Linked DNA regions of Mus musculus. The protein of the gene in region 3 interacts with the protein of the main gene of each other region in a biochemical or structural test. Links are inferred from orthologs where the notes say so. Each region holds a gene or a part of one and is shown on either strand. Other genes may lie near its edges.

Evidence for each region.
Region 1: the proteins of Gtf2i (region 3) and Usf1 form a complex in vitro, tested with the Homo sapiens proteins (2 studies listed by BioGRID). The link is inferred for Mus musculus from reciprocal best matches to the Homo sapiens genes GTF2I and USF1.
Region 2: the proteins of Gtf2i (region 3) and Btk form a complex in vitro, tested with the Homo sapiens proteins (4 studies listed by BioGRID and IntAct, with this or other methods). The link is inferred for Mus musculus from reciprocal best matches to the Homo sapiens genes GTF2I and BTK.
Region 4: the proteins of Gtf2i (region 3) and Hdac3 form a complex in vitro, tested with the Homo sapiens proteins (2 studies listed by BioGRID). The link is inferred for Mus musculus from reciprocal best matches to the Homo sapiens genes GTF2I and HDAC3.

Annotation. Positions count from the first base shown.
Region 1 is NC_000067.6:171,408,239-171,415,291, forward strand, and holds the start of Usf1 (upstream stimulatory factor 1), read left to right. Parts: upstream 1-3,074; 5' UTR 3,075-3,202; intron 3,203-3,204; exon of another isoform or gene 3,205-3,624; intron 3,625-6,134; exon of another isoform or gene 6,135-6,198; 5' UTR 6,199-6,283; coding exon 6,284-6,291; intron 6,292-7,053. Other genes in the region: Arhgap30 (rho GTPase-activating protein 30), read left to right, coding at 1-1,103.
Region 2 is NC_000086.7:134,545,141-134,548,640, reverse strand, and holds part of Btk (tyrosine-protein kinase BTK), read left to right. Parts: intron 1-1,014; coding exon 1,015-1,079; intron 1,080-1,810; coding exon 1,811-1,929; intron 1,930-3,001; coding exon 3,002-3,159; intron 3,160-3,500. UniProt on the Homo sapiens protein: Non-receptor tyrosine kinase indispensable for B lymphocyte development, differentiation and signaling. Binding of antigen to the B-cell antigen receptor (BCR) triggers signaling that ultimately leads to B-cell activation.
Region 3 is NC_000071.6:134,238,401-134,243,382, reverse strand, and holds part of Gtf2i (general transcription factor II-I), read left to right. Parts: intron 1-391; coding exon 392-475; intron 476-595; coding exon 596-779; intron 780-1,223; coding exon 1,224-1,252; intron 1,253-2,468; coding exon 2,469-2,510; intron 2,511-3,098; coding exon 3,099-3,140; intron 3,141-3,811; coding exon 3,812-3,870; 3' UTR 3,871-3,886; intron 3,887-4,490; coding exon of another isoform or gene 4,491-4,555; 3' UTR 4,556-4,982. UniProt on the Homo sapiens protein: Interacts with the basal transcription machinery by coordinating the formation of a multiprotein complex at the C-FOS promoter, and linking specific signal responsive activator complexes.
Region 4 is NC_000084.6:37,936,628-37,942,895, forward strand, and holds the end of Hdac3 (histone deacetylase 3), read right to left. Parts: intron 5,341-6,268; coding exon 5,251-5,340; intron 5,140-5,250; coding exon 5,081-5,139; intron 4,832-5,080; coding exon 4,752-4,831; intron 4,484-4,751; coding exon 4,326-4,483; intron 1,057-4,325; coding exon 987-1,056; 3' UTR 344-986; downstream 1-343. UniProt on the Homo sapiens protein: Histone deacetylase that catalyzes the deacetylation of lysine residues on the N-terminal part of the core histones (H2A, H2B, H3 and H4), and some other non-histone substrates.

The DNA.
Region 1 (7,053 bases), on a different chromosome or scaffold from region 3:
ATGTGGAAAAAATAATAGGAGAACCGGGTAAAGATGAGGAGAGAGAGATTGGGAGAGAAGAAGGAGCTGAGAAAGGAGATGACACCCCAGTAGACTCTGATATGGATCCAGAGCATGTGTTCCAGGAAGACCTGGTTCTTGAGGAGAGCTGGGAAGTTGTCCACAAGCATGAGGCTGAGAAAGGCAGAGAGAGTGAGACCAAAGAGCTGAGGAGGAAGAGTGACCTTAAGTCAAGAGAAGACCAAGGACACAGTGAAGACAGTGGAAGTCCAGAAGAGGGTGATGATAGGAAGGAAGGGGTTTTCAGCAAGGAACAAAAAAGTATAGACGTAGAAACTGAAGTCATGAGAGGTGTTGGTGACCACTTAGAAGAGGGGGCCCTCTCTGAAGGGCCAGGTGTCGAGTTACTGAGGGTTGACAGTACAGAAGAAATCAATGAACAGACCTCTGAGATGAAACAAGCCCCGCTACAGCCATCTGAACCAGAGGGCATGGAGGCTGAGGGACAGCTTAATCCTGAGACATGTGACCTGTATTCTTGTCCCTGTGGGTCAGCTGGTGGTGTGGGCATGCGTCTGGCTTCCACCCTAGTTCAGGTCCGACAGGTCCGCTCTGTCCCTGTAGTGCCCCCCAAACCACAGTTTGCCAAGATGCCCAGTGCAATGTGTAGCAAGATCCATGTAGCACCTGCAAGCCCATGTCCAAGGCCTGGTAGGCTTGATGGGACTCCTGGAGAAAAAGCTTGGGGTTCTCGAGCTTCCTGGAGGAATGGGGGCAGTCTTTCTTTTGATGCTGCTGTGGCCCTGGCCCGGGAACGCCAGAGGACCGAGTCTCAGGGAGTTCTGCGGACCCAGACCTGTACTGGAGGTGGGGATTATAGTCTCAGCTCCAGAACCCCTCCTTGTAGCATGATCCTTGCCCATTCTTCCCGGCCCCTTAGCTGTTTGGAACGCCCACCTGAAGGCACAGAGGGGTCTGAGCCCAGGAGTCGGCTTAGTCTGCCCCCTAGAGAGCTTCACCCTGTTGTCCCTCTTGTGGCCCCTCAGCGCCAGACATATGCTTTTGAAACACAGACTAATCATGGGAAAGATGAAGGGGTATGATTAGGACAGGACAAGAGGAACCAAGAAATCATCACCAATCTCTGGAGCACTTGCCTAGCTGTCTTTGCTGCCTCGGCAGCTGAGATGTCTAATTCCATAGGCTTGGGTCCTCCAGCTTCTTGTTTTGACCATGAGAGGTACAGACTTGGTGGATTTACTTATGTTTGTGTTAGACACAAAGCCACTTATGTCTTAGCAGAGTCTTAAGAAACATAGAACAATCTTGTTTCCAGGGAGTTAACAAAAACATAGGGTAGGTAAAAGCTTTTTTTTTTCTTAAATTTAAATACAGTGGGGGAATTTCAGCCAAACTTTTGCCCTATTCTGAGCTGTGAATATCTCTTCACAGAAGCCTACTGTAGATGTGGGAGATATAGGACCAGATATAGAATAGCTCACCCCTGATTTGTTCCTAGATTTTTGGCTGTCTTCTGACCCTCTTTAGTTTCAGAGTAGGAGAAACATCCAAGAAGCTCTTTAAAGTCCTCAGTGTTTGCTGAAGGAAATGGGTGGCATCCTCTACCTTCAATTATTTTGCAGAAGAGGTCCTCCCATTTTAGGAAAAGGGAATGTTGGGCTGAAGAGATAGCTCAGAGGTTAAGAGCACCTACTGTTCTTCCAGAGGTCCTGAGTTCAATTCCTAGCAATCACATGATGGCTCACAACCATCTGTAACGGAATTTGATGCCTTCTACGGGTGAGTCTGAAGAGAGCAATGGTGTACTCATTCATATACATAAAATAAATAAAGAAAGAAAAGAAAAAGGAAAAGAAAAGTAGAGGGAATGTCACTCAATTTGGCTCTAGCACTGTCTCTGCACAGGCTGGGGCTACAGGCCACCATTTAGCAATGGTGGGTATTTGATAATAAAAGCTGAATTTTTTTTTTAACATTTAAACAGTGTATGTACTTTGTCTTATTAAAGTTTTGGGTGAATGGTATCACATTCCAAAGTTGCCAAAATGTATATATCTTGTTTTTTCTTATTTAGATATTCTTCCTCAGTTGTCATGGGAAACTGTAGCTAGAAAGTAGAACTGGGTTCATGGTGGTCAAGAAATGAGGAAGAGAAACCTGTATTTACATAATGTTCATCTAATGCCAGGAATTGGGCCAGATTTGTGTGCATAAAAACTTTGCTCTTGAATTTATTTAATCCACTTGATGTGAAGTTGGTATTGGTATTTCCGTTTTACAAAGAAATTGAGCTGTAGTTAAGTAAAAATGCCCATCAAAAACCTCAGAGTTAAGAAGTGTTAGTTTCTAGGTGTGGTGGCTGTCTTTAATCCTAGCACTTGGGAGTGGAGAGATCTATGTGTATTCGAGTCCAGCATAGTTTATGTAGGACTACATAGAAATACCCTATCGCAAAAAAAAAAAAAAAAAAAAAAAAGTGTCAGTTCAGAGTCTGAATGGCTTCAGAATCTGAATTCTAGCTATTGCTATTATACTTCACTATTCCAAAATCACTCTGGGTACACCCAGAATGAAGAAAATGGTAATCAAACTCGTCCCCACACGTATTTAAGAGCCTGAGGAAAAGCTATGAGGTCTTTGGAGTATTGCTGACGTTAATACAAAGGTATATACCCAGATCCACGTACACTCAGAAATGTCCCAAAGTCCACTTGGAACCCCCTCAAAGTGATGCCCTGATCCAAGATGGCGTCCCACATTGCCCTTATGAAAGATGGCGCCTAAGATTGCCGTTCCACCCTCTACTTCCTTTTACTGGAAGTAAAAGGGCTCCGCCTACCACAAGGATGGAAGTACAATTTAGTCGGGTTTTTTTTTTCCTGGTTCTTACTGAAAACAAAGGCCTCTAGCGAGGTCCCCAAGGATACCGTCTGTTTCCCTTCAGAGCCTGCGACCACTCACGTACCCACATCCGCTCTAGCGGGCATCAGATTTGAAGCGAGCGGAAGTGTGGCAGCTCGGGGGGCCGTCCGTCGGCTGGGCGGGTCGAGGGCACACTTCCGCCCCTCACCAACATGGCCGCAGGCTGGGACTGCGCATGAGCAGCTGTCTATGGAGAGACCTAGATCCAAAGACGGAGAAGGCTGCCGGGGGAAATCGGCGACTGAAGCGGCCTGGCCCGGTGAGTGCGTCGGAGCCGGCCGGAGTCCGGACGCCGGTGGATCGGCATGGCGGGGCACCTTTGCTTTGGCTGGCGTTTCCCAGGCCAGGCCACGCCTGGGCACGGAGCCTTTGTTTTGGGGGAGGGGGCCGTGCCCGGCTCTTTCTCTCCTGCTTTGTGGGCCGAGCTCGCTCCCCGCCCCGGTGTGCACACGTCCCAGCCGCCTGCGGTGGGTATCCAGCTTCGAGCCGCAGGCCCGGGAAGGTCCCCGGCGTCCTTTCCCCGTCTCTCCTCCGCGGAGCAGCTGGGGCGCAGGCGAGCTGGGCTGGGACCGGCGGGGTCACCGCGCGGGCTGCGGGGCTCGCGCCTGCCGGGTACTCAGGTCCCCAAGCGCCTACTACTAGTCGGTGGGCCTGCAGGGAGACGCGTCGTTCTCGGGCAAGGTCCGGGCGCTTGAAGTCTTTGGGAACTTGATCTGGTTTTTGTGTGTGGGTGGTGGTGGGGGGTGTTTTGTTTTTTAAATTTCTGCCTTTGCGTCTGTGCTTGGTGAGGACGTTTGCTGGGCTCTCCTTTTGAGCATGCAAAACCACAAAATCCTAGGCTGATTTCCGTATCACGTATTATTAATGCTCAGGATGCTTCCGGATATACAACCAAGGTTTGAGTAAGGAGCCTACCGCCGTTTCTGGGTAGCCTCAGAAGTTGCGCTGACAGCTGTTGGCTATACGGTTGTCTCGTGCGCCTTGCAGTCTCTTTCATAGCCTCCTCCTGCAGGCCGTGCCAGGAGCTTCAGGAGGAGCTCTTCCTCCTGTTTGAGGATGGAGACCCCCTAGGTGGTCCGTACATCCGGACGCTGCCTCCCTTTGCAGCCTTACTTTCTACGGACAGTTTCACTTTCAGTTCCCTTTTGTTATTGTTGTTAACGTTCTTCTTTGCACACGGTCTTTCCGAGGCGCATTATCCGCTAAACTAAGGTTTTTCTTTGATTAGAAAGGTTTGGAAGATCTTGCGGGTAGAGTGTTTAAAAAAAATCTTGTCCTTTCTTGTTGAGATTATTTTATTGCTTTGTCCTATGCAGCTGTTTCTTTCTGGTGGCATCTGTCTGTACAGTTCTTTGTTTTTTCCCGTTCTCTGGCTGGTTGTCAAAAGTCCTAAGGCAGGAACATTGTAGATGGATTCCTCCCCCTTTGTCTTTTCTCCTGCAGAACCCTGAGCCTGGAGGTTTTCTTTCCCCCCCTCCTCCTGAGGCTTAGTTGATTTGGAGTTGTCATGGCAACATTTTAGCAACTATGTTGCTCTACAGGAAGCCTTGCTGGATAAAATAAAGAAGCCTTGAACATGATGCACTTGGGCACTGGTGTTTGTAACAGATGCTGTAAATCTGGACTCTCTCAAAACAAGAGCCCCGACAGCGGAGTAGTATCCAAGAGCCAAACCTGGGTTTTATGCTTAGTGATGGTTTCCCAATAGCAAAAAAGGTTTCAGTTTTCCTCTTCTTAGATTTGAGGACTGGAATTTGTTTTTTGTTATTCTTATTTGATTTTGAAACAGGACCTCTCTATACATAACCTTGGCTGTCCTGGAACTCACTCTGTAGACCAAGCTGGCATTGAACTCAGAGATCTGCCTGCCTCTGCCTTCTTAGTGCTGGGATCAAAGGCTGGCATCACCACCTCCCAGCTTCAGATTTCTTTTCGTACAGTTTGTGTTGGAGAAGCTGGAAGAAGAATCAGGGAGTGTGTGAGGGAGTGTGTGGGTGGGGGGGTTATTAGTTACTGGTTTTGATAGTGGTGGTCTAAACTTTGCTCTAGCTTTTCCTGTGAAGCTGCTGACATAGAGTATAATAGCTTTAGTAACAATCCACAATAGCCTCAGCCATGCACCCCAGACATTGTTTCACAGTCTACTCCTCCCCCCAGGAGTTGGAATGAAAATGGAGGAGCAGCTGGGTGGTGGCGACCCATGCCTTTAATCCTAGCACTAGATAGGCAGAAGCAGGCAGGATCTCTGAGAGTTCAGAGGCCAGCCTGGCCTACAGAGTGAGTTCCAGGACGGCCAGGGCTACAAGAGAAACCCTGTCTCAGAAAGAGAGAAGCGGGGTTGGGGGGGAAGGAAGGAAGAGAGAAAAGTTTTGGTGTGTGTGTGTGCACATGCATGTGTGTGGTGGGCTGGACGCTGTGATAAACAGCTTTCACAAGTTAGTTTTTGCCTCTTTGAGGGGAGGAGGTTGTTTTTTTTGTTTTGTTTTTTGAGATATGGATTCTCTAGGTTGCCCTGGTCATCCTGGAACTCTGTAGCCATGGCTGGCCTTGAACTCAGAGATCCACGTGCCTGGCTCCCAAGTGCTTGAATCAGGCATTGCCACCACGCCCTGCCTGCTGAGCCCTCCTAGCTTTTCTTTTGGTCAGAGGAGAGCCGTAGGGGGTCAGTTGTTGTCTTTCCACGTTGCTGGAGACAGTGGCTGGCGCCCCGCTTGTAGAGATTCTCTCATCTCCAGCTCTCCATCAGGCGCCCTGTGATTACACATGCTCTCAATGCTGCATTCCTCTCTTCTATAGGTTTTAGGACTCGGGTGTTACCTTCATTCCGAGTGAGACTTCCATTGCGAGTGCTGTTTGAGCCAATCTCCCAGTTTTGTTTTATTTTATTTTGAGACAAGTTCTTGTAGCCCAGCCTAGCGTGACACTAGCTTTGCACCCCAGGATGGCCTTGAACTCCTAAGTATTGGTATTACGGGCATGAGCAAGCACACTTGGTCCTTTTTCTCCTCAAACTCGCACCGTTCCTGTCTCCTTCCCCTGAGTGTTAGGCTCCCAGGAGTGAGCCTCCATGTCCCGTGAAGAGTTGCTTCTTCAGTCACTGCAGACTAGCCCTTGCCATCAGAATTGGGGGAGTTGACTGTCCTTTGCGGATGCTTGGTTTATCTTCCTGGCTGTGTCTTCTTGGAACCTAGGTTCTAGAACCTGGAAAGCTGTTCAGTTGCCTGGCCTCACTGCAAACTCTGTGGTTTCCACCAGGACTTAGCATTCAGGCCTTTGAGTTGGGAGATACAAAGTCCTCCGAAAAAAGACCGGCGCCTCGGATGAGCCCCCTCACAGAGAGATGAAGGGGTAAGTGAAGAGGGATGTCTGGGCAGAGGAGGGATGGCCTGGAGAATGCAGAATTAATGCAGAATGACTAAGAACATTGGATTCGGGAGATCTGGGTTCAGGTACCCAGCTCCAACACTTACCAGCTCTGTGATTTAGTTTCTCTATCTATAAAACTGTGGTGCTAGTCACTGTTATTAGCATCAAGATGGTGTGCTGGGGTGGGGGGTGGGGTGGATGCCTTTAATCTCAGCACTCAGGAGGCAGAGGCAGTCTTATCTCTGAATCCAAGGTTAGCCTGCTCCACACAACAAGTTCCAGGACTGCCAGAGCTACCCAGAAAAAAACTCTTTCTTTCTTCTTCTTTTTTTTTTAAGATGTAGAAATGGTCCTTTTTTTGTTTTGTTTGTTTGCTTGTTTATTATATGTAAGTACACTGTAGCTGTCTTCAGACACTTCAGAAGAGGGCATCAGATTTCGTTACAGATAGTTGTGAGCCACCATATGTTTGATGGCATTTGAACTCGGGACCTTTGGAAGAGCAGTCAGCGCTCTTAACCACTGAGCCATCTCGCCAGCCCTAACACTTTCTTGAAAAACAAAATAAAACCAACCAACCAACAAACAAAAAAAGTGCTTATAGCTTGGTGTCTATGTACATGGTAGATACTTAGTTATTACTTTTTAAATTTATTTTGTTTTATTTTTTTGAGACAAAATAATATTTACATAGTCCTGGGTATATCGTAGTCCTGGCTGCCCTGGAGCTCACTCTGTAGACCA
Region 2 (3,500 bases), on a different chromosome or scaffold from region 3:
CACTCTTTTCTTGCCCACTTAGCTCCTGGAGGCATCAGTTGTTGCCTCTGTTTCTTTCAGCTAGGTGGAGACTCAAGTTGTCCTATTCTTCCTGCCAGAAAGACCAAAACCAATGCAAACTTGTTGGCTGTTTCTTCTGAGTTCTCTTAGTAGTTCAGTGAAGTGGAGTTGTCCACATGAACGAAATTATTTGCATGCTTGGTTTAGGACTGTGTATCAGGTTGCTCTCCATATGATGGAAATGCAGCAAAATTTCTCAGGATCAGTCAAATGTGTGGCCTCACCCTCATAATCCCAGCCCTTTCAAGATTGAAACAGGAGGATTCCCATGAGTTTGAGGACAGCCTGAGCTATATCCTGAGTTCAGCCTGGAGTACAGAATAAGACTCCCTCCTCCTCGGGCTGGAGAGTTGGCTTAATGGTTAAGAGCACCGACTGCTCTTCCAGAGGCCCTGAGTTCAATTCCCAGCAAACACATGGTGGCTCACAACCATCTGTAATGGGATTGGATGCCCTCTTCTGGCATGTGTGAAGACAGCAACAGTGTACTCACATACATAAAATAAATAAATAAATAAATATTTTAAATAAAAGACCTTCGTTCCCTCTCTTTAAAAAGGCAAGGGAGCTAGCTTTGCTGGTAAAGTGCCTATAGAATTGAAAAAAAACAAAACAAAACAAAACAAAAAACAGAACACCAAGTTCAGATCTCTAGTACCAATATAAAAGCCAGTATAACAATGCATATCTGTAATCCCAGCACTAGGGCACTGGGGAGAGACAGGCAGATCCCTGGAGCTTATTGGCCAGCCTGGCCCAATCAGTGAGCTCTAGGTTCAGTGACGCTGTCTCTAGAGACAAAGTAGAGAGTCATTAAAAAAGACACCTGACATCAACCTCTGGCCTCTATATGCACACACCATACATGTGCATATGCAACTCCATGCTGATGGGCAGAAACTATGTCTTTAACTAAGGTCAAGGATGCAGTCTCACATATCTATTGTACTATAGGCAGCTCGAAACTGTTTGGTAAACGATCAAGGAGTTGTGAAAGTATCTGACTTTGGCCTGTCTAGGTGAGTGTGCCTTTTTCATCTCCCCAGTTTTTATTTATTTTGGCAAAGGGGTTGTGCTATGTGGTCCATGCTGGCCTAACTCATGAGTACTGTTATCTTGCCTTGGCTATCCACGACTGGGATTCCAGGCACGAGACATCACCCCAGCTTTACCCTTGCCTTCATTGCTGGATGTCTCTTTTCCTTTCCTCTTTTTCCTCTGTACCCTTCCCCCCTCTCCATTCTTCTTCTATTTCCCCAGTATCTTATCTTGATCTGCTAAACCCACTGACTTTCCCCCATTACTCCTTCCTTGGTCTAACCTTTATTGGCTCCTGCAGGCTGCAAGAAAGTGGGGAAGAGCCAAAACTGATGGCCCAGGCCTGGAATCCCATCAACTCTAGAGGCTCAAACAGTACCATGATTGAAAATTCAAGACCAGCCTAGGCAATTTAGCGAGACACTGTCTCGATTGTTCCTCAAAAGTACAAAAAATGTTAGAAGTATTTATCATCAGTAGCCTAGCGTGTGCAAGGCCCTAGGTTCAACCACGTAGAAGGTAAATACTTTTCTAAACAGAAAGAAAACAGAGGTTTTGTTAAAAGTAACATTTGTAAAAGGCATTGACTAGCCAGCAGAGACTTTGAGAAAGTAAGTGTGCAGTTGGACAGCCCTTATGGTGTGTGCTGAGAAGACGGGCACACATCAAGCCATCTAAATCTTAATGGTAACAAGTCTTGAATCGCTTGCAGGTATGTCCTTGATGATGAGTACACCAGCTCTGTAGGCTCCAAGTTTCCAGTCCGGTGGTCTCCACCAGAAGTGCTTATGTATAGCAAGTTCAGCAGCAAATCTGACATCTGGGCTTTTGGTAAGTAGATAAGAACATACAGGTGAGGATGCCAATATGGCTTAGTGGGTAAACTGCTTCTCATGCAGCGCTGGCAACCCCAGTTCAATCCTCAGAACCCACAGAAAAGCTGGAATCAATGGAGAAGAATACAGGCATCTGTAATCTCACTATGCCCCCACCAGCAGATAGGAGGTAGAGACCAGTGAATCAAAAGTCGTGGACCTGCTAGCCTGTAGAATGTACCAGAAAAACAGCAAGGCAGACCGTTGTCTCAAACAAGGTGAAAGGTGAAGAGCAACACTTGAGGCTGTTGTCATCTCACTTCCACTGTATGCTGTGGTGCAAGTGCTGGAGCACACACGCGCACACACATGCGCACGCACGCATGCACGCGCACACATGCACAGTGGGGTGGAGGGAGAGGAGAAGAGAGAATATAGCTCAAAGAAGAACATACAGGAAAGTTTAAACTTGTATTCCTCTTGTCATTCATCTGATCCTTGGGTGTTTCTTATGTGTCAGGGACCACAGGGGTTTGTGGGGACAAACACAACCAACTGGACATAATCTCTATCTTCTTAGAAATTACAATCTACCCCCAGGAAACAAAACGTTCATTCTTCAACAGCTTCTGAATACTGATTATGTACTAGGCACTCTGTCAGAGCCTGAAGCTACCAAGACAAACAAGACACAGTCTGTCTCTTCTACGGTAACTAATAATGGGCTAGCGTAGTGCAGCTCTGCTAGCCGTCGGGACAGCCAGGACCGTGGCAGGAGCCTGGACAAATGCAAAAGCCATAGAGGGGAGAAACCAGCATATTCTAATCTTTTTTTTTTTTTTTTTTTTTTTGGTTTTTTCGAGACAGGGTTTCTCTGTATAGCCCTGGCTGTCCTGGAACTCACTCTGTAGACCAGGCTGGCCTCGAACTCAGAAATCCGCCTGCCTCTGCCTCCCCGAGTGCTGGGACTAAAGGCGTGCGCCACCACGCCCGGCTTCAGCATATTCTAATCTTAATGGTTCATCGAGAAGGATTAGGCCCCAAGGATCCCAAGAAAGCTGAGTGTACGTCCCCTTTATATCTCCTAGGGGTTTTAATGTGGGAGATCTACTCCCTGGGGAAGATGCCGTATGAGAGATTTACTAACAGTGAGACAGCAGAACACATTGCTCAAGGCTTACGTCTCTACAGGCCTCATCTGGCATCAGAGAGGGTATATACCATCATGTACAGCTGCTGGCACGAGGTAAGGTTCCCTCTTACACTATTCCCTTGAACTCAGTTTCATATTGAGCTGCCCAGGCCCTGCTCCCCACGGCCACATGTCAGCTGGGCACTGCCTTACAGCTAGCTACACATGCTTTCTCATTCTGGGCTGCACCCCAATCCTCTGATGGCCTTTTCATACCCACCCTGATGAAGTTGTAGTATTTTGGAAATACGGATCATGTTTTACTATTCTAAAAATGCTTTTCTGGGGCTGGGAAATGTAGCTTAATTGTAGGGTAGAGTGCTTACCTAGCATCAAGTACGCCTTTGTTTGGCCTCCAGCACTTCCTAAGCCAGATGTGTGGTGCAGGTGTCTGA
Region 3 (4,982 bases):
AGTTTGGCTGCACAACTCCCTGTGAGCTCAGGGCCGCTTGCTACTGCTCTCTGTCCTTTAACAAGGCTGGGGAGATGGTTCAATAGTCGGGAGCACTTGTTCTTCCAGAGGACTCAGGTTTGAGTCCCAGCCCCCACACGGAGGTTCACAGCCACTTATAAGTGCACTTATAAGTACAACGGAGCTGGCACATTCTACTGCTACATTGGGCACACACATGGTGCACAGACATATCCAGGCAAAACACCCATATGCATAAAGAAATCTTACAAAAGTAAAATCGTTTTTAGCTGGGCCACAGCAAGTACACCACACCTGGCTTAGAAATTCTTCCCAGAAGACATGTGAGTTAGATGTTAAGTGTGCTCCCTGCTTTTCTCCCGTCTTTTAGATGACGATAATGAACGACTGTCCAAAGTTGAAAAGGCCAGGCAGCTGCGGGAGCAGGTCAACGACCTCTTCAGTCGGAAGTTTGGTAAGTTTGTAAGAATAGAGGATACTAAGGAAACAGGGCCAGTCGCTGCTCGGCTCTGTGTCTCCGCTTGTTTTGAAGATGAAGGGTCACACTGGCCCTGTGCTGTTTGTCTCGCTGCAGGTGAAGCTATTGGGATGGGCTTCCCGGTGAAGGTCCCCTACAGGAAGATCACCATCAACCCTGGCTGCGTGGTGGTCGATGGCATGCCCCCCGGGGTGTCCTTCAAAGCCCCCAGTTACCTGGAGATCAGCTCCATGAGGAGGATCTTAGACTCTGCGGAGTTTATCAAGTTCACTGTCATTAGGTGAGACGCTATCGCTTAGTCAGTAGGACAAGGCTGGAGGCCTCACGGCTAGGTCATATCCCAGAGTGCTGTTGTGTGGAGTCTGAACTGAAGCGTGTGGGCAGAGAGCAGGCAGAGACAGGTGGATCTCAGGGAGTTCCAGGATATCCAGAACTACACAGAGAAACCCCCACACCCCAAAAACATAGGTAACATTACATTGGCATGTGTACTATACATAGCACATACTACATGTGACTAATTACAAATAACTGATACATACATTGTGTATGATATGCATTAATAACAGAACAGGAGTCATTGTTACACAGTGTTACAGTCATTTCATGGACATCTTGTATGTCTCCTCCACAGGATAGGCCATACGTGGCATAGATTAGCAAGTTAGGCAAATGTTCATGTAAAACAAAAGCCTTACATTATACAATTTGTTTTTCTCTTTAGACCATTTCCAGGACTTGTGATTAATAACCGTGAGTACAGCTTTCTTTTGTTTGTTTGGTTTCTGGGGATCTGGGAGTGCATGTGAGTGTGTCTGTGGGTGTTGGGTGTGGTGGGGCCTGCAGGATAACACCATTTGTCACCCATTATGTCACCCGTTCTCAGCACCCTGCCTGCTTGTGAAATTAGCATTGCTTGTCTCTTAGTGAGGAAATGGTGACTCGGGTGGGCTGAGACCGTTTTAAAGGGCTCACTATAGGCCGGACTTGGAAAGCTGCTGCCATTGCAGCTCTGTTACCCTGACTCCATACACTAGAGCTCAGGGGACTGTAGGCCCCTAAACAGCATCAAAGTGCCAGGCACAGGGAGGGAAACGAGCAGTTCCAGTGCTTGGGAGGCGGAAGCAGGAGGATCAGGCTGATCAGCACTGTCTGCTGTAGACAGTCTAAGGCCAGCCTGGGCCACAAGCGACCCTATCCCCAAAAAGAAAGGGAGGGAGAGAGGGCTGGTGATGGACACCCAGCAAGCTGACTTCTGTCCCGGGGCTCACGTAATGATGGAAGGTGAGAACCGAGTCCAGAGTTGTCCCCTGGCCTTCAGGTGCACACCGTGGCACGCGTGCTCACACAGACTTCACACACTCTGTAATTAATTCTTTTGTTGAATTTTCCTTGCAAATTTCAGTTCATCTGTCTTTTTGAAAATTCAGGTCACTGTGGGTGACCATAGAGATCACTGTGGGTGGCCTAGAACTCAAAGACATTCCCCTGCCTCTGCCTCCTAAGTCCCACATTAAAGATGTGCCACCATGGCCAGCACTCCTGTTCTGTGTATAGTTTTCATTTCTGAAGAATATTATGTCCAAGCCCCTGCTTGTAGGTTCCTGTCTCTGTTGCTGAGTTTTATTCTTGTCCTTGTGCAGGACTCTGGTTCCCGTGTGTGCTGACCACTGAAAGCCATGGTTCTGGTGGCATCTAGCCAGGACCACTGCTGTCCCTTCCTTTGGTGTTCGTCTTTACCCTTTCTTAGCATGCGGGGTCCTGGGGTCCTCGGATCATTTCATGGTCAGTGGTTACAAGACAGCTTGTCTCCTCGGTTCTCTCCTTCCGTCGTATGGGGCCCAGTGACTGAACTGTCTGTCAGGTTCGCAGGCAGGCAGGCACCTTTACCTGCTAAGCCTGTCTGTCGTCCGCATGGTTGGATGTCACGTGTGTTAGTAAGCCGTCTAAACTGTGCCTTTCATTGCAGAGCTGGTTGATCAGAACGAGTCTGAAGGCCCTGTGATACAAGGTGAGAGGAGAGCGTGGGGTACATACTACTTACATGGTTGCCCCAAGCCCGTGGCTCCTGCTGTACCTGCTTATAGTCACTGCATACACTTAGCTTTGCAGAGACTTGAGCCGTGGGTCCCGAGTGGCAGTTGTAAGCCACAGACCTTGTAAACCCACGATCCCAGGTTATTCATGATATCTTGGTGCTCATGACCAGGGAGAAGTCTGCCTGTAAGTGTGTGCTTATGCGGGGTGTGCACATGCGTATGTGGAGGGCAGCAGCTGACGGGCTTGCACTAGAAAGATGGCTCATTGGTCCTGATCTTCCAGAGGACCCTGATTCGAGTCCCAGCACCCACGTAGCAGCCTTTTAGTTAAGTTAAACTGTCGTTTAACTCCGTCTCCAGGGCCTCCTAAGGCTCCAGACATGTGCACAGTACAGACACACATGCAGACAAAATAACCAAATAATTACAATAAAAAAGAAGTTGGCAGGCTGTTACTATCATTGGGTGTTCTCCTTCCTCTTCCTCCTCCTCTGCTTCAAGGCTCTTTAAATAATAACTTTTGAAAGCCATTCAATGACACTTGATATGTTTCTCTTTAGAATCAGCCGAGGCAAGCCAGTTGGAAGTCCCAGTAACAGAAGGTAAGAGCTGCGCTGTTGCCAGCGAACAGACTTAGTGACCGACACCTTGGGACAGTGTGACTGTGCTCACGGTGATGCTCTGTGTCTTTGTTCTTAGTGAGTTGATTGGAATTTTTTTTTTTAATATGTATGAGTGTTTTGCCTACTTATATGTGTATATAGTACCCAAGCCAGAAGAGGGCATCAGACCCCCAGAAATAAGAGTTACAGATGGTTGTGAACCTCTATGTGGGTGCTGAGAATTGAACTCATATTGGTCCTATGGAAGAGCAGCCAGTGCTCTTACTGCTGAGCCACCTCTCCAGCCCTAAATTGATAAGATTTCTACCATGAACACTGTCCAGTGAAGAAGGCAGACTTCCTCTCTGTTCTCCCCGTGTGGCTCTGACTAAACTCTAGATCCCTATAGCTTAGACAAGGCATGATGGTAAATACACCCAAAACAATATGGAATCTGTTACTTGGGAATCAGGCATGAGCTGGACATGGCTCAATAGAAGAACACTTGGCAGGCATTTGTAAGGCCCAGATCCCGTAACAAGAGCACTTTATGCAGAAGCCACATGGAACGGCTTCGTGCAGATCTTAGCAGGTTCATATGGCTAGTCTTACTGGCAAGCAGGTTTGCACCAGTGGTACAGCTCATTGTTACCCCTTTGTTTCTTCTGTAGAAATTAAAGAGACAGATGGGAGTTCACAGATCAAGCAGGAGCCAGACCCCACGTGGTAGACCGTGGCTCTCCAGGGTAAGAGCCTCGCTCTAGCTGCCCTTCATCCATGCCCACTTATAAGCTGATGTGCAGACACATCCCTTCTGCTCTGGCTGTGAGATGAGGCCACCCTCAGGGGACATAAGGCCCAAAGGTTTTTCTCACTCAAAGATGTAGCCAAGATGAGTGAGGTGGCAGAGATAGGTGGGTCTCTTGTAAGTTCCAGGCCAGCCAGGCTCCGTGGTGAGACCCTGTCTGTCTTGGGGTGGGGTAGGGTAATACAGAGGTAGTATTCCTTAAAGGGACATGTTTGTTTTGAGTCTGTATGCCAAGGTTGCCTCCTCTCTGGCTGACCTCTTTAGGCCGGTCACAAGCCCAGCCCCATCAGTTGCTGACTTGCCACCAAGAGGTGGGCTGCAGTGACCCGCAAGTGAGGAGACTGCAGTCTGCTGTGATGGGCTTTGCCTGGCAGCCTTGGTGATGTGCCTGACCGTGTCAGATCACAGGCTTAGGCCTTGCCGTCTTTCACAAGTGCACTTGGGCCTGCATGTCTGTCAGATGGAACAGGGTGTGTGACAGGAGGTTGTCATGCCCCTGCCATCTGACTCACCCACTGCCTGCGTGTTTGTTCTCTCTGCAGTTCGTCCAGTGTCCAGCGTGCGTGGTGGAGAAGAGCTTTGGGACCCGTTCCTGCCAGCTCTGTAATATACTTGTATAACAGAAATACCTTCTATACAAACCTTCTTTTCTACTTTTAGATAGAAATGTCTACTTTCTCAGCAGTTCTGTGAATTGAGCTACACAGCGTGATGAGATGCGCGTGCCTGGTGGCTTGGGAACGCACTAGAAGGGTCTTGCAGCAGTGCTGAAAGAGGCGGGAATGGCAGGGACGACTCGTAGGGTTTCTTATGCATCGGGCAGAGCCTTGGGCTGTGGTGCGTGTTCCCGTCAGTGAGATATTCCTACAGGGCATCTTGGCTTCCGCAGCAAAGGAAGTCCCTGTGCTAGTCAGTGCTTTAGTTTTTCTATTGAAGACCAGTTCCGTGGTCTTGCACTCGGCTGCCCCTCCTGCCAGGGGAGGGCTGCTGTCTGTGTGTGTGACTAAGCCTCTTCCCAAGCTCCATCACGATTC
Region 4 (6,268 bases), on a different chromosome or scaffold from region 3:
TGTCACTCCTTTCTTGTACCACTGACAACACCCACAGTTACCATGCCCGACTGGAGACTCCTCCAGGAAGGGGTCTGTGCATGGTACACACAGGATCCAGCTTGTTCCTCAGTCAGTCTGTGAGCAGTTGCTTACATCCAACAGAGCCAAGCACTTACTGGGTTTTATCTCAGGACATCTTTACCAGCTAACATCCTCATCTCAAACACCCATGCTCACATACCTGAAGACATCTTTACCCTTCTCAGGTCAGTAATCTAACTCTTCAGCAGAAATGTCCCATTAATTCCCCATTTGAGGAAACTAATCCATGGTGAATACACACATGGCCTAACTAATAAAGTACTGAGTGAATGGTAACAATTTTATTATACACATCATCATCTGTTTCCTTTTCACATCATACATCGGTAACTAGCAAGAATTAAAATCCCAGAAAGGTACAAAAAAAAAAAAAAAACCAATTGGTTTATTAGATCCAAAACAGTAAAATGGACATAAAGCCAGTTAGAGCTTCACACCCTCTCCTCCTTGCCACTGTACTTCATCTGCAGTTAAGGTTTCAGAGAGCCACGCCTTCCTCCCCTCAGGTTCACCTTGCATGGAAGCAAGAACTGTAGTAGGGGAACCCAGAAGGAAGTCAGAGGTGACTTTAGTACCGTCCAAACTTTCATCTCTAACAGTCTCTGTGTTGGAAGGACAGAAGGAACAAATGAGGGGAAGAGGGGCTGAGGACAGTTGCTGGGGCTCATTACCCATAACGTTCCAGAGACCTGTCCATGTCTCATCCCTGAGAGGGACAATCATCAGGCCGTGAGAGTTTGAGGGAAAGGGGAGTTAATTCTAGAACCACATATGGTTTCCAAACCCTTCACCAGAGTTAGTAAACACCCTGGGGGTACCCAGTTCAGACCTGGGGAAACCATACTTTCCTTCCCACCACAGAGGTGACAAGGAACTCTTGGGGACACAGCATCCATGCTGCTCTAAATCTCCACATCACTTTCCTTGTCGTTGTCATGGTCGCCATCATAGAACTCATTGGGTGCTTCTGGCCTGTAAAACAAGGAACAAGAGATTAGAAACCCACTCTTCAAGTTCCAGACTCCTCCCAGCACCCTCCTCAGAGCCACTTTTCTATGGGAGTCTTCTCCAAAGCCAGTTCCTCTCCTCTTGCTGGCAGGGACTTACTGCAATCCATGTACTCAATAAATGGAGACTCCTGTGTGCCAGGCACTGCCGTAGGCCTTACCAAAACAGCAGAGAATCAGCTAGACTAGATTTCCATACAATCTCTCAAAGCTTACATCATGAGACCAGCAATAACAAAGCTCATGAATGAATACAATAACTTCAAATGGTGGAGTGTTCTACATGAGAAAACTGAGTCTGGTGTGAACAAGAGGGTAACAATGGACCTACAAAATGAGAGACCGTTCTGACAATGAAAGACCTAAATTCTGTGAAGAGGCTGGCCAGGCAAAGATCTCAGGAAAGTCCCACCAAGCCCCAAGAAAACCAAGTACAGAAGTCACAAGGTCCAAGGAAACTGAGCCATTCGAGAATGACAAGGAGGCCAGCAATGCTGGGATGCATGTGGGCAGACAAAAGTAGTCTCAGAAGACGAGTCTGTATGCAGATCTGTATGCAGGGCATGTTCAAACTGTTGCTTCTAAGTACGAGGAGAAGGAAAGGTGTAAGCTGAGACTGATGCAGGGAAGAGTGTCTTAGTTAGGGTTTTACCGCTGTGAACAGACACCATGACCAAGGCAACTCTTATGAGGACAACATTTAACTGGGGCTGGCTTACAGGTTCAGAGATTCAGTCCATTATCATCAAGGTGGGAACATGGCAGCATCCAGGCAGGCATGGTGCAGGAGGAACCGAGTAGGAGCCTTCTACTTCTTCATCTGAAGGCTGCTAGCAGAATACTGACTTCCAGGAAGCTAGAATGAGGGTCTTATAGCCCACACCCAGTGACACACCTACTCCAACAGGGCCACACCTTCTAATAGTGCCACTCCTTGGGCCGAGCATATACAAACCATCACAGAAAGGAAAGGCTGCAAGACTGGCCGGAAGGTATGAGCAGAAGACCAACATGAGGTATGAGTAGAAGACTGGCAGGAAGGGATGCACAAGTGGAAGACTGACATGTCATTAAACTACCAGGGGAGGGAAGTGACAGCAACACAGGGCTCAGAAAGTACTCAATACTGGTTTCCATCTCTTTGAAAACCTTTTCTAAAACAGGCCATTATAAAGTCACAGAAGAGGAGCAAGAGACTAAGGCAGGCAAACAAGGCCATCTCTATCACCTCTAAGAGCCCAGGGTAAAAAGTGAGAAGTCGGTCTCTCAGGGTAACTACAGAACCTAAGAAAGTTACTTGCTCTCTCTGAGCCCTGGGTTCTTCCTCTCGTCATCTGAGGATAAGACCCATCTCTTGGGTTATGCAGAGAGTAGAGCCAGATGTGAACACACAACTATAGAAGAAAAAGCCAAACCCAGACAAAAGGAGAACTTAAAAACAGGTGTTGCTGAACCAACTAAGACAATGGCAATCAGTTTCTAGAAGTCAGGTTTTAGAGGCTTGTAGACAACTGCTAAAGAAAAGATGATTAGATAGAGCCTGAACCAGATATTTAGATACTTCCTCACCCACGCCAGGGAATGGGGAGGTATCCATGAAAGAGGGGGACTGGAAGGTCCCAAGGATTAAGACCAAGTCCAGAGGACAGAAATGGAGGCCAGAATTCTATGACCCAGAATAGACTCTGGAGGAACTGAGAAGTCACCCACAGCAGCAGCAGAGCCAGCTCCAACCTCATGCACAGAAGCTCACAGCAACTCGAGTGGTCTCAGTCTTGTAAATGTATCTGGTCCCTACTAAATATATCTCTTTCCATCTTGATTTCTTTTGACTCTTTTGGGTTCTGTTGTCCTTTCTCATCATTTTCTAGAAATTTCTTCAAGGATTAACAACAAAAAGATCTATACTAATCAGTCCTTATTTCATTCTAGCTATAAATATTTCAACATAGATCCAAGAAAGATAAAGATTATTTACACACACACACACACATACACCTCACTCAATACAGCTCAGAAATCTGGAAAAGTGAACTAAACAAATGTAGAGACCCTATAAAAGAGAATGTAGGCAGTGGTCTACTGGTTCACTGCTCAGGACAGAGTAAAATGCTGGCAAATGGAGAGACAGCTCAGCAGTTAGGTACACTTGCTGCCATAGCAGAGGACCTGGGATCTCTTTCCAGTATCCAAAGAGCAGCTCACAACCATCCTTGACTCCAGTTCCAGGAGATCTGACACCCTATCAAGTACATAATGATGTACATAAATACATGCAAAGTTAAACACCATGCACATAAAATAAATGAATCTAAAAATAAACAAAAGATTTTTTATTTAAAAAAAAAAAGATGTAAGTAAACCACTAAGTTCTTTCTGGAAAATAATTTGGCAGCAAATATGAAAAGTTCTACTGCATGCATATCTCATTTGCCCTAATGGCAACAGCTATGAAAACTGGACCCACTCAAACAAGCATACAGAGAAACATACATAGAGACATACATACATAGAGGGATTCAGTGCCAGTCTTCACTATTTTTGTAGCCACAAAAGAAAGGGAGGGGACGGTGCAGTGGGGTAAATATCCACAAGTGGTAACTGATTACCCTCGCAATCATGTGACCACCACACAATGGAATTATACAACTGAGAAAACACTGATCTACACACACTGACACAGGCAAGTGTAACTCCAAACAACATATAGAAAATATCCTCCCACGGATTAACAAAAAAATGTATAAACAAGCTGGGTAGAGCAAGCAGTCCATGCCTATAATCCCAGCATTTAGAAACCCGAGGCAGGAGGGTATCTGATTTAAAGACCAGCTTGGTCCACACAGAGGAAACCATGTGTCACCCCCCCCCCCAAAAAAAAACCAGCAACAAATCAAGAAAAAAAAAAGCTGTATAAATAAAATTCTGGATATGCACATGTGCATGTAGTATTCTTATAATCTATAGAAAATTATCTATTCAAATAATACATAAATCAAGCCATAAATAACAGCTACTTCCATGGAATAATTCTGGAACTACGTGAACACAACATATTTTGATGTTTATAATATTTTCATATTATTGTTGTTTTGTTCTTAAAAGTGTCAAAAAGAGTAGAAGGCTCGCAGTCTAAAGGAAACCAGCCAGGGCCAGATGAACTTGTGCCTTCTCACTTGGAAGCCTTCTCTGCAAGCCTAAGGAAGCACCTGCCCTCCAGCCCCTGCCCCAGACCTGCTGTAGTTCTCCTCGGGACCTCTCTCTTCAGCGTCGGCCTCGTCAGTCCTGTCATACGTCAGGAGGTCTGCCGGGACATCATGAATCTGGACACTGGGTGCATGGTTCAGCATCTTCAAGTTTTCAAAGATTGTCTGGCGGATCTGGTCCAGATACTAGTTTAGAAGAAAGAAAGTCAGCGGTGTTGGGGTGATTCCTATAGTACAGGAAATCCTACCCACCTTCGTCCCTGACCGTCCTGATCTAAGGTAGTATTTCAAGGTCAGATCCTCAGTTGGCAACTGTCCCTCCCCAACAACCCCACGATAAGATCGACAGTGACAGCCCAGAAATTCTTTCTCTTGCTCTCTCCACTTCCCCCCTCCTGGACCTCTCCTGAACCCCCCCCCCCATTGCTGTGTCCAGCCTCTCCAAGCTGCTAACCTGGCGTGAGTTCTGATTCTCGATGCGGGTGCTGACATCTGGATGGAGTGTGAAATCTGGGGCAAAGTACTCGAAGTATTCTTAGAGATGAGAAGCAATTGGGAGAGGGGATGAACAAGAGTATGGCTGAGACACCAGAGTGAATCCCATGGCTTTCTGATCTCCTCTCCGAGGCCTGGTCCCCATGTGTAAGAGTATTTGCTCTGCTCTGAGCACAGGGATTTAGTCTGCAGAGCTACCAGAAGGTGCAATTTCCCTCCAAACAAGGTCATTCTGAGGACTGGTGAGAATGGTGTCCCCCTGTGGTGGCATCATGAAGTGGATCTTACCACTATAGGGAAGTTCCTCACTAATGGCCTCTTCTACCAGCAGAGATGTTTCATATGTCCTGAAACCAGCAAGCAGAGGGGTTTGGGTTGATGGCGTGGGCTGAAAGGACCACCCCTCCAATTTTAGGGAGTCTGTCGTGAACCACAGAGTAGTAGAACAGAACACTCACCAACACCGGGCAACATTTCGGACAGTGTAGCCACCACCTCCCAGTACCAGGAGAGGGATATTGAAACTCTTGACATATTCAACACATTCCCTGTTAGAAACAAGAGGACTAGGTAAATCTAAGACATGTGACCCCAGACATGACTGGAAATATTGTACAAAGACTTGACCAACAATATTTCTCTGTCATATTGTGTAGTATAACTCAAAGTTGCATTCTTTGTGTGTGACTACTTGTATAAACGGGTTTGTCTTCACATGTGTGCCAGTGCATGTGTGTCTGAGGATGTGTGCATGTATGTTCACACATGTATACAAGGGCTAGAAGACATTTTCATGTGTTGGCCTAAAGATACTAGCCACCTTTTTTTTTTTAACCTGGCACTTGCCAAGTAGGCTAAGCTGGCTGGCTACCAAGCCCTATGAATCTTCTGGTCTCTGCTTCACCAGGGCTGGGATTACAGATCATAAATGGGTGCCACCGGGCCTAGTGTTTTTACATGAGTTCTGGGATCAAACTCAAGTCTTCATTCTGTATAGCAAGCACTTTTACTGAGTGTGCTAGTCACCCTGTCCCCACCTGGCTCTGAGCTATATGCTACACACACACACACACACACACACACACACACACACACACACACACACACAAACACACAAATGAACAAATAAAAATACTAGCGTACTTTACTGTGTTGTGTCTCAGTGAACATTTTAAAATAAAGCACACCCTCACGGCCTTGCTTACTACTCTCCGCCACACCTGGCCTGCTACCCAACTACTCCCATCGGTGTCGCCACCAGAATGTCTGTTCTAAGCTTCAGGACATACCTTCATACCTCGTACTTCTCTCCATCAACACATGCCCTGCCCAAATAATGTGATTGGCTTCCTAACTGGCTGCCCACTACCCACCCTGACCCCAACTCCCACACCAACCCTTTCTTCATTTAGCAGTCAGAACAGTAACTCTCAAACTCATTGGACCCTGTCACTTCCCTGTTTAAGATCCTTCAAC